2 linked regions of the Stegostoma tigrinum genome follow. The protein of the gene in region 2 purifies or fractionates together with the protein of the main gene of each other region. This does not show direct contact. Links are inferred from orthologs where the notes say so. Each region holds a gene or a part of one and is shown on either strand. Other genes may lie near its edges.

Region 1 (7,166 bases), on a different chromosome or scaffold from region 2:
ACGCAGCTTAAACGTTTCAATAGCCTCTCATCATCTTTGATTAAGATACTATAGGTTTGACAAATTCTCTGCTTTAAATCTCATCTCTCCAGAATGATATCACCTTTAATTTCCTGAAGGTGCTCCCCCAGGTCCTCACTGTAACAGTAATAGTGAACATTGGCAAAAGCCTCCTGTAGAGTGTGCAGACCCATATTTCAAGGAGTTGGGAAAAAAGGCAAGTTAAGTTTCAGTTATACAGAAATGGTCATACCCTTTCTTGAGTACTCTATTCAGTGTGGGCAGCAGACGTTAAGAAACATGACAACTTTGGAAAGCACCAAATTTACCATGATGTTGTCAAAAGAATTAAATTAACAGAGCTGCACAACTATAGCTTAACCTAACTTCAAAATAGGGAATAGAAGAAAAGCACTTAAACATGTCATTCATTCCACAAGTCCATGTCAATGTTTAAACACTGTTTCAGTCCCCTCCAATCTTTGCTTATCCAAATCTACTATCATAACAAATGAAAACCGAAAGAACTGCGGATGCTGTAAATCAGGAACAAAAACAAAGTTGGTGGAAAAGCTCAGCAGGTCCGAGGAAGGGTTAGTGGACCCGAAACGTTCACTGTTTTCTTCCTTCACAGGAGCTGCCAGACCTGCTGAGGTTTTCCAGCAAATTTGTTTTTGAGTTTACTGCCATAACACTCATCTCCTTTAGAATCTTGACAAATTTCCCCTTAAATATATCTGTACTGTTTGCTTCGAGCACTACCTATGGTAGATGGTTGAGGGGCAATCAAACTGTGGTAGTTAAAATAATAAGTTAATTGATAGAGTACAGAGAAACTAGTTCCGCTGGCAAAGAATCCAGAAAAGTGGGCATCTTCAATAAAATTAGAGCTGCATCATTAAAAACAAAACAAGGAAACTGTTCTTCCATGCAACGTTTCCCAGAAATGTGGAATCTTCTCCATCAAAAGCTTGTGGATTCTCAACTAAATTAAAAGTTAAGATTGAGGTCAACAGGTTTTTTTTATTAGCAAGGATGTACATGAGTCAGCTGCATGTTATTGGAATAGATACACAGTCAACATAACTGAATTGGATAACGGTACAAACTTGAGGAACGAACAGAAAACTCCAGCTCTGATTTTCCATCTAAGATACTTTAAATTGATATGATCAGTAACTTTATCACTGAGCTTATTGTACCTTATTCCTTTGATCAGCTTATGCCTTACTTTCATTTAAGGCATACATGTATTTGTTATTATTTCCTAACGATCATGAATCAATTCAACTAATTGAAATCTAATTCATCAGAAAAATACCGGATTTATCCAAGTAAAAAAATAACATGAGAGCACCATATCATGTGCAGTATACTACAGCATTGAGATCAGGTTATATTAAAAGTTAACTTTTCAGGTTATCCCTGCCTTCCTGGGAGCACCTTTGGCCAGACATAATCAGAGATAAACAAATTAGTTAAAAAGAAAATTGCCAAGCTGATTCCAACCATTTATGTTTACCATACACTCCCAATTTACTTTTGTTCCATCACTGATGGTTATCCTACAGCTATGTGTCCCCAAACCCATATCTGATTTGGTTTTTGGTAATCTCAGCAAATCTCCCTTATTGGGAGAAAGTCTGTTCAGTCGCACTTCACTGAAATGCCACAGGATTTTATTTTTCATTAAAAAGTGACCAAATAAGTGTAGGTTGAGATACCTATTCCTTGAAGCCTCTCAACTTTTAAAGTATCAAAGCTGTTCAGCATATTTAGAACCTATACCTCAATCCATTAAACTTCAGAATAAACAACAGGTCAATTGTGAATCAACTACACCAAAGAAAAACCTACATCTGTTGTTTACTTGGTAGTTCTGCCTCATGCGGATCAACAAGGCGTGTTCTTCAAGTCTCCCAAAGCTAACATTACACATTTTTCACTTTAGAAAGCATGTATATCCAATGACAAATCACTCTTCAGGACATATGTAATGGTAAAGATCGATCAACGATAATAGAGGCATGTCTACCCTACTCTTCCGGGTGCACTTGACAAGCAAACCGCCGTTTCCTCTACAGGAGTGAGCGTGTGTTTAAAAAAAAGACACTGAATATATTTGCATCGCGCAACAGCGTCTCCTTCGATACGCGGCACCTTCGGGACTAGTTTAATATACGGCACTGAAACATATCCAACATCACACTCACTGGTGAGCAGCTGCCCAGGCTCCACCAGGCTGCCGAGTTCGTTTTTCTTGGGCCCTCCGTGTGGGTATCCTCCCCCGGCGGCACTGCCGCCGCTCCCTCCTCCGCCAGCAGCTCCTCCTCCGGCTCCCGGCGCAGCCACGGCCGTCCCGACTGCCAGTCCCGGGTGGTTTTTATTGACGACAAGACCGAGGCTCGCGGAAGCGGCGCCATTGTTGGGATCCTCGTGCAGGAACTGACACTCGTCGCCGTAGAAACAGGTCTTGTCCTTAGCGTAGTAACGGCAGTACTTCACCTTGGAGCCTCCGCCCGGCAGTGGCCCGCCGCCGCCACCACCACCACCACCACCACCGTTCATGGTAGGCGGAGGCGGGAAAAGGCTGGAGTAAGCCACCTTTTCAAACGGCGGCGGCCACTGCACGCACGGCCGGCGAGGAGGCAGAGCCGCCGCGAGTGCAGATCCGGCTCCGGCCTCCCTGCTTCTCCCACAATTCAAATCCGTGAGCCGAGGCGGAGAAGAACAACAACATTGGAAGGAAAAGGAGCGGGCGGGTGGGTGCGGAAAAAAACACACACACACACAAGCTCCGATGCACCGGCCTCCGTCAATCGATCGGAGCGAAAATAAAAAGACGGAGGATGGCTAAATCGGATCAGGCTCAGGCTCCCCAGCGGTGATATTTATTTCTGCCGATGGCGGGAGCTGCTTTGACCACAGCTACAAGTTTTCCTCTCTCCTTCCTCCCCCCCCACCCCGCTCCTTGTTTTTTTCCGGCTGGAAGCGGCCTCCGCCGAGCAGCCAGCTGGCGCCTTGTGCGCATGCGCAACCCTGGCGCATTCGCACCCAAGGAATCAAAACAAATGGTGAAGAGGGAGGGGGCGTTGCTATCAGCTGCTGCTTCTTTCACTTTTTCTTCCCTCCACACCGCCAAAGTTAATGCGTGCACCTGCTGATCGTATCCTTAACGGTGTTTTCCGTCTCCATCTCGATCGATTATTGTTATCACTGCTGTGTTTCTCCCTACCCTCCCCACCCCCACCACCTCGTATGCAAACAAAGAAGAGCACGATGTAAAATGGAGGCGTTTGAAGCCCAGCGGTTGTTCGGGGACCAGGACAGACCAGATAGAGACAAGCTGTTACGGTTAAGGGAAAGATGGAGAATCAGAGGGCACCAATTCTGGATGATTGGCAAAATGAACCTTTTTTTGGTTAATCCAGCAAGTGGTTAGGGCCTGGAATGCATTGCCAGAGGTGGAGAGAGATTCGTGGCTTTCGAAAGATAATTGGGCAATAATCTGAAAGGGGAGAAATAATAACAGGACTGTGGGGAAAAGACCAAGGATGCAGGGTAGGTGAATTGCTATTCCAGGAAGGACCGTAACCAAACAGGCCAAATGACCTACGATGCAGTAACCATGTTATGACTCCATGATAATTACTATACTAGTTATTGCAACTAAAGTGTGAAATCCTTCACTTGAAGGCTTATTGGTGTTATTCATTTCAAATCCAAAGTCAATTACTTTATGGTAGATGCTTGCTCCTGCTTCTTAAACAATTGCTTAAGAATGAATATAAAGGGTAGCCTTTACAAAATTTAGGTGTTGTTCCTGAAGTCTAGCTAATGCTGAAGAAAGTATTTCTGATTTTAAAAAGATCACAGTGGATACATAGGAAAGTACGTTAATTTAAAAATGAGAAAAATCAAATTAAAAACCCAAGTCTATGAATGAAATGTTGCTGAATTTTGAAATAAGCATCCTACATTAGAAAGAAGATAGAAATATCCATAGACAAATATCCACCTAATCTCATTTTCCAGCTGTTAGTCTGTAGCTCTCAAAGTGCATTTCCGATTATTATTAAACCAGATGAGAATTTCTGACAGTGTCACCTTTTCAAAGTTCTCAATCTGCACCATACTCAAAAGTGAAAAAAATTCATAACACCCCACCTATACCTTTACTTAAAATGTATCTCACATCCTCATTAAAACTCTGTTAACAGAAATAGCTTTTTATCATAGATAATAAAATGTGAGGCTGGATGAACACAGCAGGCCAAGCAGCATCTCAGGAGCACAAAAGCTGACGTTTCGGGCCTAGACCCTTCATCAGAGAGGGGGATGGGGGGAGGGAACTGGAATAAATAGGGAGAGAGGGGCAGGCGGACCGAAGATGGAGAGTAAAGAAGATAGGTGGAGAGAGTGTAGGTGGGGAGGGGATAGCTTTTTATCATTCTGTCTACACACTTGATAATTTTATATACCTCAACTAAATAACTTCTTAGCCACATCTGATCCAAAGAAGTAACCCTAGTTTTGACCTGAAGAATTAACTTTTTTTTCCACAAATGCTGCTAAATTTGCTGGCTATTTCCAATGTTCTCTGTTTTTGTTCCAATATTTATACCCTTTTCTCTTAACTAAAATCCTCATTCCTTGTAATGTCAGAGACTTGCTGAATTTCTGCAGCAACTTGTTTTTGTTTGCTTCTGATCAACAGTTCTTTGTTTTATTCTTAACGGTGATAGTCATTGTTACTGATATCACCTCCCTGTTATCTCCTGACTGTTTCCTGAAGATATCTATATATGGTGGATCAGAGGTTAGCACTGCTGCCACACAGTGCCAGGGACCTGGGTTCGATTCCATCTTCGTCTGTATGGAGTTTATACATTCTACCTGTGTCTGCATGAGATTCTTCCAGGTGACCTGGTTTTCTCCCCCAGTCCAAAGATGTGTAGGTCAGTTGGATTGACTATGCTAAATTACTCAGGGTGTCCAGAGATGAGGTATGGTCATGGTAAATGCAAAGTCTCACAGTCTGGGTGGGATGCTCTTCAGAGGGTCAGTGCAGACTGGATGGGCCAAATGGCTTCTTTCTGCACTGTATAGATTCTATGATTCTGTGTTCGTTACCAGCATCCTTTCCCCATTAGATTACTGAATTTATAGCTCTCATACAATAACATACGGTGTGAAGCTGGATGAACACAGCAGGCCAAGCAGCATCAGAGGAACAAGAAAGTTTGATGTTTTGGGTCGAGACCCTTCTTCAGAAATGGGAGAGGGGAAGGGGATTCTGAAATAAGTAGGGAGAGTTGGTGAGGCGGATAGAAGATGGATAAAGGAGAAGATAGGGTGAGAGGAGACAGATAGGTCAAAGAGGCTGGGTCAGAGCCAGTGCAGGTGAATGTAGGTGGGGAGTTAGGGAGGGGATAGGTCAGTCCAGGAACGAAGGACAGGTCAAGGAGGTGGGATGAGGTTAGTGGGTAGGAGATGGGGGTGGGGCTTGAGGTGGGAGGAATGGTTAGGGAGGCGGGGACTAGCTGGGCTAGTTTTGGGATGTGGTCGGGGCAGGGGAGATTTTGAAGTTTGTGAAATACACATTGATAACCTTGGACTGCAGGGTTCGCAAGCGAAATATGAGATGCTGTTCCTGCATCTTTCGGATGGCGTCATTGTGGCAATGCAGGAGGCCCAGGATGGACATGTCATCCAAGGAGTTGGTGGGGGGGGGTGGTTAGTTGAAATGGTTCACGACTGGGAGGTGTAGTTGTTTGTTGTGAACTGTAATTCTACAATAACATACTACAGGATCATCATCATCTGAAATATTTAATTGGTACACCTGAGTATCTGGAGAGTTCAGGAGCCATTTGTTAATAAGTAACTTCACAGTGACTGCTGGTTCTTGGAACAAGTTAACACAAATGTCACTTTGAAAGGGCAGTACCATCTCCCTTTGTTCTTCAGAGGATTAGGGTTATGTTGCCAAGAATTAAATCTGAGCTCAATAATTGTGCATGAACAGATGATGCCTTCTAAACTCAACACTTTTTGCCTCTGTGAGGTCCATATTCCCCTATTCCATGCATATTACATACTTTAAAGCAAAGTGACTGTTTCTGTTTAAGGCACTTTGTAACTTTAAAGCTAAGTAATGACTGCGTATTGAAATCTACAGCTGTTTTGTTTCAAAGTGCATTCACAGCAAGCCTTAAAAAAATGGCACTCTGTTGTCTCAGGCTAAATCTTACCCAGCAGCATACTGCTGCATACAAAAGTATAAGACTCTTCCCTTATATTGACCACAATTAATCACCATAATATCTAAATGGTCCAAAAGAACTTTTCTCTGCTGTAGATCTCTAATATAATTTTTCTTGCATAATCATTGCACTTAACTAAAGTACAAAAATTGTTTAAAAAAGACTCAATTATACAATATCACCTGCAGATTTTGAAATCACACTGTGTACACCAAAGTCTAGGTAATTAATATATGTCAAGAAAATCAGCAGTTTTAACACACAATCTTTACTTTCTTGGCTTATCCTACTAAGTCTCTTAACAGATGTGTCTAAATTTAGAAGTTTTGCTTTTTTGCTTTCTAGGAGCATATTTATTCTTAACCTTCTCTATCTCCTCCTTGAGTAACTCCCAGTTTTCTAACACTAATTCATTTTCTATTAGTTGTTTCTAGTCCACTTTTGCCAAAAATATTGTCAGATTATTTAATTTGAGTGACATGCTTTAAAGACCTAGGTACCTCTATATTTGCACTGCTGGAAACAGAGTTGAATCTTTTGTTTTGAAATCTTTCTGCCATTTTATTCCTGAGGATGTGTAAGAGTCAAAATTTATATTTAAATGAATACCTATCTGATGTTTGTCTCTAGGTAAAACAGCAGCAATATTCTGAGTTTTGTTTTGCTGTAGTATTGTGATGAGACAATTATTCTCAAATTTGTTGTAGGGAAATTTTTTGATGTCATGACTGGTGAGCAATGAAACAAAAAGAGGAAATGCAGACACTTCCAAAGATCAAGAAGCGAATGCTCAAACTTATTTATTAATTACAGCAGGCTTTTTTTTGTAAAAATGGAATGTTACACTTTGTCAAATGCACAAACTGTATAAAACTATTATATAGGCACAGATTATGATTT
Region 2 (7,615 bases):
GGGTCTAGGCCCGAAACGTCAGCTTTTGTGCTCCTGAGATGCTGCTTGGCCTGCTGTGTTCATCCAGCCTCACATTTTATTATCTTGGAATCTCCAGCATCTGCAGTTCCCATTATCTCTTTTAGTAGAGATGTTGGCCTTCCAAAGCTGTAGGTTTTCTGCTTAGGCCTGCAACCTCAGGAATCTGCCCAACATAGATCATTGGGGACAGGCTCTTTTTTAAAAATTCACTTGTGGAATGTGGGTATCACTGGGTGGGCCAGCATTTATTGCCTGTTCCTACTTTTCCTATTCATCTCCAATGAAGAATGTTTTCAAGGTGGGAAGATGCTCCAAAAATTCGAATGGCAATAGTGGTTGAATGTGGGACAGTAGCTGTTCAACTAACTTTTGGAAAACGACGTTCAATTCGGTTTATTGAAAATCCCAATGTTATTCCCCCATCCCCCTTTTTTGGATTAAAAATCTACTAAAACCCCCACTACAAATGTGACAAATCAGAATGAATTGTCTTTAAAACTCACAATTTCACAGGGGGCATTTCAGAGACCAGAAACACAGGACCTAATTTGTGTTTTCAAAATTTGAAATCCCCTTCAAGTTTTCATGTCCTTAAATAACCTGTCACAACAGAGAACATTCCAGGGTGCTTGACAACCAATGAAGTACATTTGGAAGTGCTGTCACTATATAAAGTAGGAAATGTGGCAATCGTATTGTGCAAAGCAAGCTCCCACTTACAGCAGTGAGGTAATAATCTATTTAAGTGATGCTGATTGAGGGATAAATGTTGCTCAGGATACCAAAAGAACTGTCCTCTTCTTGAAGTAGTCCACTTGAAAAGGGTATCTCGGGCTTTGGTGTAACTCTTGTCTGAAAGGTGGTAGCTCAACACTGCTGCAAGGTGTCAGCCAAGATTATTTCCAATTTACATTTTCTTTTCGTTCACAAGTACAGGAATGACTACACTTAAAGCATAAATTATGTGTAATTGCTTTGTGTCATGTGTTTGTAATCTCAGCTGTTCATGACTTTGCATTTTATAAGGGGATTAGTCAAGAACACAAGAAATAGAAGCAGAAGTAGGTCATTTTACCCTTCAAGCCTGCTGCACCATTCAATAGGATCATAGCTGATTTAATTGTGGCCTCCAGCTACCTGTTTGCCCTGCCTTAACTGACCTGTCAACCAAAAATCTATTCAACTGTTAAATATATTTAATGACGCAACCACTACTGTGGAAAAGCCATTCTCTGCGGAATAGAATTCCACAAATGATCTTTTGTAAAAAATATGATCTGATTTCAATTTTAAATGGGAGAATCCTCATTTTTAAAAACCAAAGGAACTGCGGATGCTGTAAATCAGATACAAAAACAGAAGTTGCTGGAAAAGCTCGGCAGGTCTGGCAGCATCTGTGAAGAGAAATCAGAGTTAACGTTTCGAGTCGATTGACAGTTCGGAGGAAGGATCACCGGACCCGAAACATTAACTCTGATTTCTCTTCACAGATGCTGCTGGACCTGTTGACTTTTTTTCCAGCAACTTCTGTTTTTGTTCATTTTTAAACCGTGCCCACTAGTTCTCGACTCCCCTGAGAAGGGGAAACATCCTTTCAGCATCCACCCTGTCAATAGTTAGCTCAGTTGGCTGGATGGCAGGTTTGTGATACAGAGTGATGATAACAGCTTAGGTTCAATCCCCACACTGGCTGCAGATTTCAAGGACACTCCTTTGCAACATCTCCTCTTGCCCTAGGTGTGGTGACCCTCAGGTTAAGCCACCACTAGTTGTCTCTCTCTCTAATCGGAGAACCTGTGTCATCAGTAAATTTAGTGACTCAGTCCTTTCAACCAAATGGTATCGACTGTAAATAGTTGAGGCCCCCACTCATCCCTGTAGCACTCCACTAATCATTGCTTATCAACCTAAAAATAAGCCGTTTCTGCTTCCTATTTACAAACTGATCTCTCTTGACTTTGCTCAGGAGACAACAGCCAGACCCAAGTTGGAAGCACTCCAAGCTCAGGCGTATTTGGAGAGACAGCGAGAGCCAGCGAGAGAGAGAGAGAGAGAAAGAGAGAAAAGAGAGGGAGCAACAATAGTGAGAGGGGATGCCACTGTTAAGGAATCAGACTGGAGTTTTTGCAGTCATTGAAGTGACTACAGGACAGTATGTTGCCTCCCTCGTGTCAAAGTAAATGGATGTTACAGAGAAACTGCAGGGGAGGGTGAGGTCATGCCCATATTGACATCAATGACTTATGTAGGAATAGGAATGAGGTCCTGAAAGCAGATTTCAAGGAGCTATGTGAGAGACTGAAAGGCATGTGGTCTCAGGATTGCTTCCAGTCCCTTCTGCCAATGATCTTACAAATAGGAGAATTAAATGGGATTAGATTACACAGTTAGTTTACTCAGCCAGCGAAGACATGCTGAGCTGAATGTCCCCTTTCTGTGTTGTAATGTTTCTATGTAAGCACCAGAGACCCGGGTTTGATTCCAGCTTTGGGTGACTGTGTGGAGTTTGCACGTTCTTCCCATGTCTGTGTGGGTTTCCACCATGTGCTCCAGTTTCCTTCCACAGTCCAAAGATGTGCAGGTTAGATGGATTGGCAAGGCTAAATTGTCCGTAGTGTCCAGGGATGTGCAGGCTAGATGGGTTAGCCATTCGGCCTATTGAGTCATGCTCCACTAGGTCCTGATAAATCCTGAACTCCACTTTCATGCCTTTTCCCCATTACCCAAGGGTCTAGGCCCGAAACGTCAGCTTTTGTGCTCCTGAGATGCTGCTTGGCCTGCTGTGTTCATCCAGCTCCACACTTTGTTATCTCAGATTCTCCAGCATCTGCAGTTCCCATTACCCTTGATTCTCTTACTGATTACAAATTTGTCTATTTCAGCCATGAATCTACTTAATAAACCAGCTTCTACAGCTATTTGTAGTAAAGAGTTCCACCAGATTCACTACTCTGTGGCTAGTTGTGGTGGTGCAGTGGCTATGTTGCCAAGTAAGCAAACCTTGAGCTCTGGTTCAAATTCTGGTGCAAAATCCAATCTGGGGATTAAAATCACATAATTAAGAAGGTGCCTAGGCTAAATGAGTTAAAGCGTCTGTCTTGTAACCAGGAGATTCGGACTTTGAATTTCTGTGGTACATTTCAGCCCAAAGGGCTTTTAAATTAACCTCCGAGCCAGGAGCCCTGAGTTCAAGTCCCACCTGCTCCAGCTGTGAGTAATGGCATCTTTGAACAGGTTGATTAGGACAAAAATATCATTAAATACCCTCAAAGAAGAAATTCCTCCTAATTTCTGTCTTAAAGGCATGATCCATTACTCTGACATTGCACTCTCTGGATCTGGACTTTTCCTCTAAAGGAAATAACTTTCCTATATCTACCCTGTCAAACTCCCCTAAGAATTTTGTATGTTTCAATAAGATTATTTCTCACATGTCTCAATTCCAATGAATGTTGACCTAACCTACTCAACTCTGCTTATGAGAAAATCCCCCCCACCATGCCTGGGATCAACCTAGTGTACCTTCTCTGTCTCCAGTGCAAGAATATCATTTTTCCCATTATTCATTTTTTTGTTACTTCTTCAAAGAATTCTGATAAACTAGTCAAAACATTTACAAGCTTTAAGTTGACATGTTTGTTTTAGCCAAGTCCAAAATGAGTTTCAGTATTTGAAAGATGGATAGAGTTGTGAAATAGTTTATATGCAATAATGAACTACCCCTTCATTCAAACATAAAACAGAAATTGAAGAAACTCAGCAGGTCTGGCAGCATCTGTGGAAAGAAAACAGAGCTAATGTTTTGAGTCTGGTGTAACTCCTTCAGCCCTTTCATTCCTCCATCAAAAGCCCCAATTTATGACACATTATGTGTAATACTTTTACACTGGTAACTTTCTACACGTACGCATACTGTTTTGTTAAAATTCAACTTTGCATAAACACCAGAGATGGTAGGTGAAGGGTCATTTGCTGAAGAAGGGTCTAGGCCCGAAACGTCAGCCTTCCTGCTCCTCTGATGCTACTTGGCCTGTTGCGTTCATCCAGCTCTACATCTTGTTATCTTTGTATAACACCAAGCAGCTTTAAAACTGTACCTCGAACTGTGCGTAGTATTGCGAACTCTGGTTGTACATATTGCTGCATATTACCACGTGAAACTTGTCCCCAAGTAACTTCCATAAACTGCATTTTTGACTCATTCTTTCCCCTCTCCAATAATAATTGAAAATATTCATTTTTTAAAAGCTTTTATTCCAAGCAGCAGCGAACCGACGATTCAACTTTAATTCCGGGAGATCTGGCAACAATAATATTACCCTATCATGAACCATGCTGAGGAGCAAAAATACAGGGATTGGGGAAACGGAGAAAATGAAGTAACTTTCCTACCATTGTACCTCAAACCCGAAATTCAATTACAAAGTGTCGCAAATAAACGATAAGAAGATTCTGCAACTTTCTTTTACCACTTGCCTCGCTCGTCATGTTCTTCCCGGATTTAGTTTCGACTTTTACTTCGGTTGCGGTGCTGAGCAGCACCCGTAGATGACTGAGCAACCCCGCCTCCAGGGGTCAGTGATTGGGTGCAACGTTTGTCCATCAGACTAATACTATTGCAGTGGATTGTGGGAAATAGGCTTTGTTGTTACGCTTTTGTGAGTTGCTTTAATGATAGTTGGTTATGTTTTTGTGTTTAATGTGATACGATAAATGGTAAAAAGGAAGTGCTGGTAGGTTCAATATCCAGTACGTGATAAGTTGGCCATGTAACTAGAGTTTAATACGAAGTAACAGGAAAAATCAATCAGCGATGCTGGCTGGGCCTGGTTGACGTTTTCCCTCAAACCTTTGCCTTAACCATCATCTCTGGCTGCTTAATATTGTCGAAATGACAGCCGGGCGATAATTGTTTGAGATTATGAATGAAAAAAATAGAAAACAGCACAAATTACAGCAAATTAACTAAGCCAACTTTCGCGCGAAAGAGACTGCCTTTCACCTGTGCCAGTCCAGTGTGAAATACTAGAATGGCTAGAAGACTTAATAAAAACGTTGGAGATCAGTGAAAAGTTTGATCTACTAAGTTAAAGTTTATGGTATCTTTTACATTGTTGGTTGCCCTTTTCTTTGCCCATGGTGTGTGTTACTCGTGAATCCGCTTTTAGGAAATGCATAAAATAGCTTAGGGATAGTAAGAACTGCCGATGCTGGATGAACACAGCAGGCCCGGCAGCATCAGAGGAGCAGGAAAGCTGAAGTTTCGGGGGAAATACTGTTCTGATGCTGCCTGGCTTGTTGCGTTCCTCCAGCTCCATACTGTGTCATCTCAGAAAATAGCTTAGTTTGCTGCACACACTATTTTGTTACTTATTGATTTTTGGGTTTATATGTTCTTCCTAATACCATGCCATGAATTATTATTTGATTCATTCTACATAAACACTTTACAACATCAGGAACGTGGGGTCCTGGATAAACAGGCGTATCATTTGATTTATGCCATTCCATTCTACAAAACCTGTCGTCAACATGGCCTTTGTGTTGCCTACCATAAAGTTTCATTTGGAATGTGAAAATTTCGAGTAGACAGGAGTTTCAGCTACAGGGAATTTCCTTTAATCTGTTTTTACTTGGGGCATCTAGTCTGTCCATTGCAGTATTGATGAAAATTTTATTAAGAGATGGTATTGTTAAATGCATTGGGATGTCATTAAGTTCTTACTGCTTAAGTTGCAATTTTAGTAATGGGCATTTGGGAAAGAGAGAACAACCCATTCTAAATCAGTGTAATGTAATCTCAACCACTGGTTTTATGTCCTACTGTGAGACTTGAATTTCCAGTAACTTTTATGTTGTTGATCGTCTACCTATTGCATTAAAAAGAGAAACATTGGTCAGGATTCCCACTGCTGCTCGCTATCCAATCATAACTGCTGGAAGTAGGCATGTTGGTTGCAGACAATGGTTATGATGCCCTGCAGAATTAAATTGCTTGCCAGTATTTACTATCCCAAAAGGGTTGTGTCCACTTGGATTAGGGGCCATCTGGTGCCCAGTGAAGGATCAATGTCTTTTCAAAAAGATATTACGGAATTTGTGATTTACCATAAGTTGGAGAAATCCTCAGCATTGTTCGGAAAAGTGCTTCCACCAAGATGGGTTGGATATGACTAATTAAAAATAGGTGATAATTTTGAATGACTGATGTTTTCTTTGCATTATTTGTAGCTTTGATGTCATAAATAAATGGAAGATTGGACTTTAGAAATCAATGGTAAGTGTAAGTCAAATGTTTTTTGCGTTGTATTTAGTTTAATAATTGGATAACAGTGCTGGAGTCATTACAAAAAGGCAGGTTGTTGTGTGCTCCAGTTACATTGATATTTGAGGATTGGTTGAATCCCAACCTGCATTGTGCTTGAGGCACTGGGCCTATTATTTTACGTCGTACACCATTGGAGTTTGGAAGGGGTTTTGTGATTTTATTCGAATTTTATTCTGTGCGTTTTCATTATGGACCTCAGGCTTCCGTGTTCTGTGGTATAATTGTGCATTAATTTAGAATTTTGTAGAATGTTTTTCTGCACATTGCAGGGTAGCTAGCAACCGCTTGTGTTCATGTAAGAATTTTTAAAAATGCCTCCTGCTCCCTGGTAGAGGCGTGACTAGTGTAATCTTCAAATGGTACGTACATAATGTAATAATAGAGGGGATAGGATGTTTTCAATTGGGGCAATAAACTGGAAGTAATATTTATTTTTGCCTACATGTTTTGGTTAATATACATTTGAATAACTGCTGTCTAAATTCAAATATATTTCTCTTCCATGTACCTCTATTCTTTTTATCCCTAGAATAAACCATGAATTTTGATGGCCTTGATTCTGGCCTGGGGGAATACTCACCATCCCTGCATCCTGGCATTGACACTTCCCTTGACAATTCAATTGAGCATTCCCTGGACCCAAGGCTGGACCCAAACTTACTGCAGAATGTGGAACTGGAAACTGATGGTGTCCAGCTGGATGGCATGCCAGTCTCAGTGTCTGAATCTGTACACCTTGTGGAGGGAATGTATTCAGCGCTGCATAGGGTTGTTGCAGAAGTCGGAGTCCCTATAACCGCCTCACATTTTGACGTTCAAGATGAATTGCTCTGGGTGGGAAATCATGGGGTAAGTGTAGTACATTAACTTCCAACCAAGTAAGCTAATGGGTCTCAATTCTAGTACAGAAACCTTTGGATATACCAGTGGATAAGTAATTGGCATGTTGTACTTGTACAGCTTACAGGTCTCTTGATATGGCTGGGATGATGATTTGTTGATGAGTCCTAACCCAGTGATGTTGCAACTTGACTTGTAAATTTTTCAGTATAATGAAAAGGTTGAGTTTGAAGTTAGTTGTTAGGTGTTTCTGTTTAATATACTCAGTATGATCAGACATAGACCTGTTTTTCTAATCAACCTGTTCAGAGATGGTATTACACATCTCTGGAGCAGCTGAGACTTTGAACCCTGCCTCTTGGTTCAGGGAAAAGGGTACTGCCACGGCACTACAAGAGGACCCTTATGAGCAGATTTAGATTTTAC

The links. The genes of interacting proteins can lie anywhere in the genome.
Region 1: the proteins of pan2 (region 2) and pan3 purify together in Homo sapiens (co-immunoprecipitation; 5 studies listed by BioGRID and IntAct, with this or other methods). This does not show direct contact. The link is inferred for Stegostoma tigrinum from reciprocal best matches to the Homo sapiens genes PAN2 and PAN3.

Annotation. Positions count from the first base shown.
Region 1 is NC_081359.1:78,818,028-78,825,193, reverse strand, and holds the start of pan3 (PAN2-PAN3 deadenylation complex subunit PAN3), read right to left. Parts: upstream 3,014-7,166; 5' UTR 2,569-3,013; coding exon 2,214-2,568; intron 1-2,213. UniProt on the Homo sapiens protein: Regulatory subunit of the poly(A)-nuclease (PAN) deadenylation complex, one of two cytoplasmic mRNA deadenylases involved in general and miRNA-mediated mRNA turnover.
Region 2 is NC_081404.1:18,294,985-18,302,599, forward strand, and holds the start of pan2 (PAN2-PAN3 deadenylation complex catalytic subunit PAN2), read left to right. Parts: upstream 1-4,603; 5' UTR 4,604-4,679; exon of another isoform or gene 4,680-4,754; intron 4,755-6,252; 5' UTR 6,253-6,298; intron 6,299-6,878; 5' UTR 6,879-6,886; coding exon 6,887-7,198; intron 7,199-7,615. UniProt on the Homo sapiens protein: Catalytic subunit of the poly(A)-nuclease (PAN) deadenylation complex, one of two cytoplasmic mRNA deadenylases involved in general and miRNA-mediated mRNA turnover.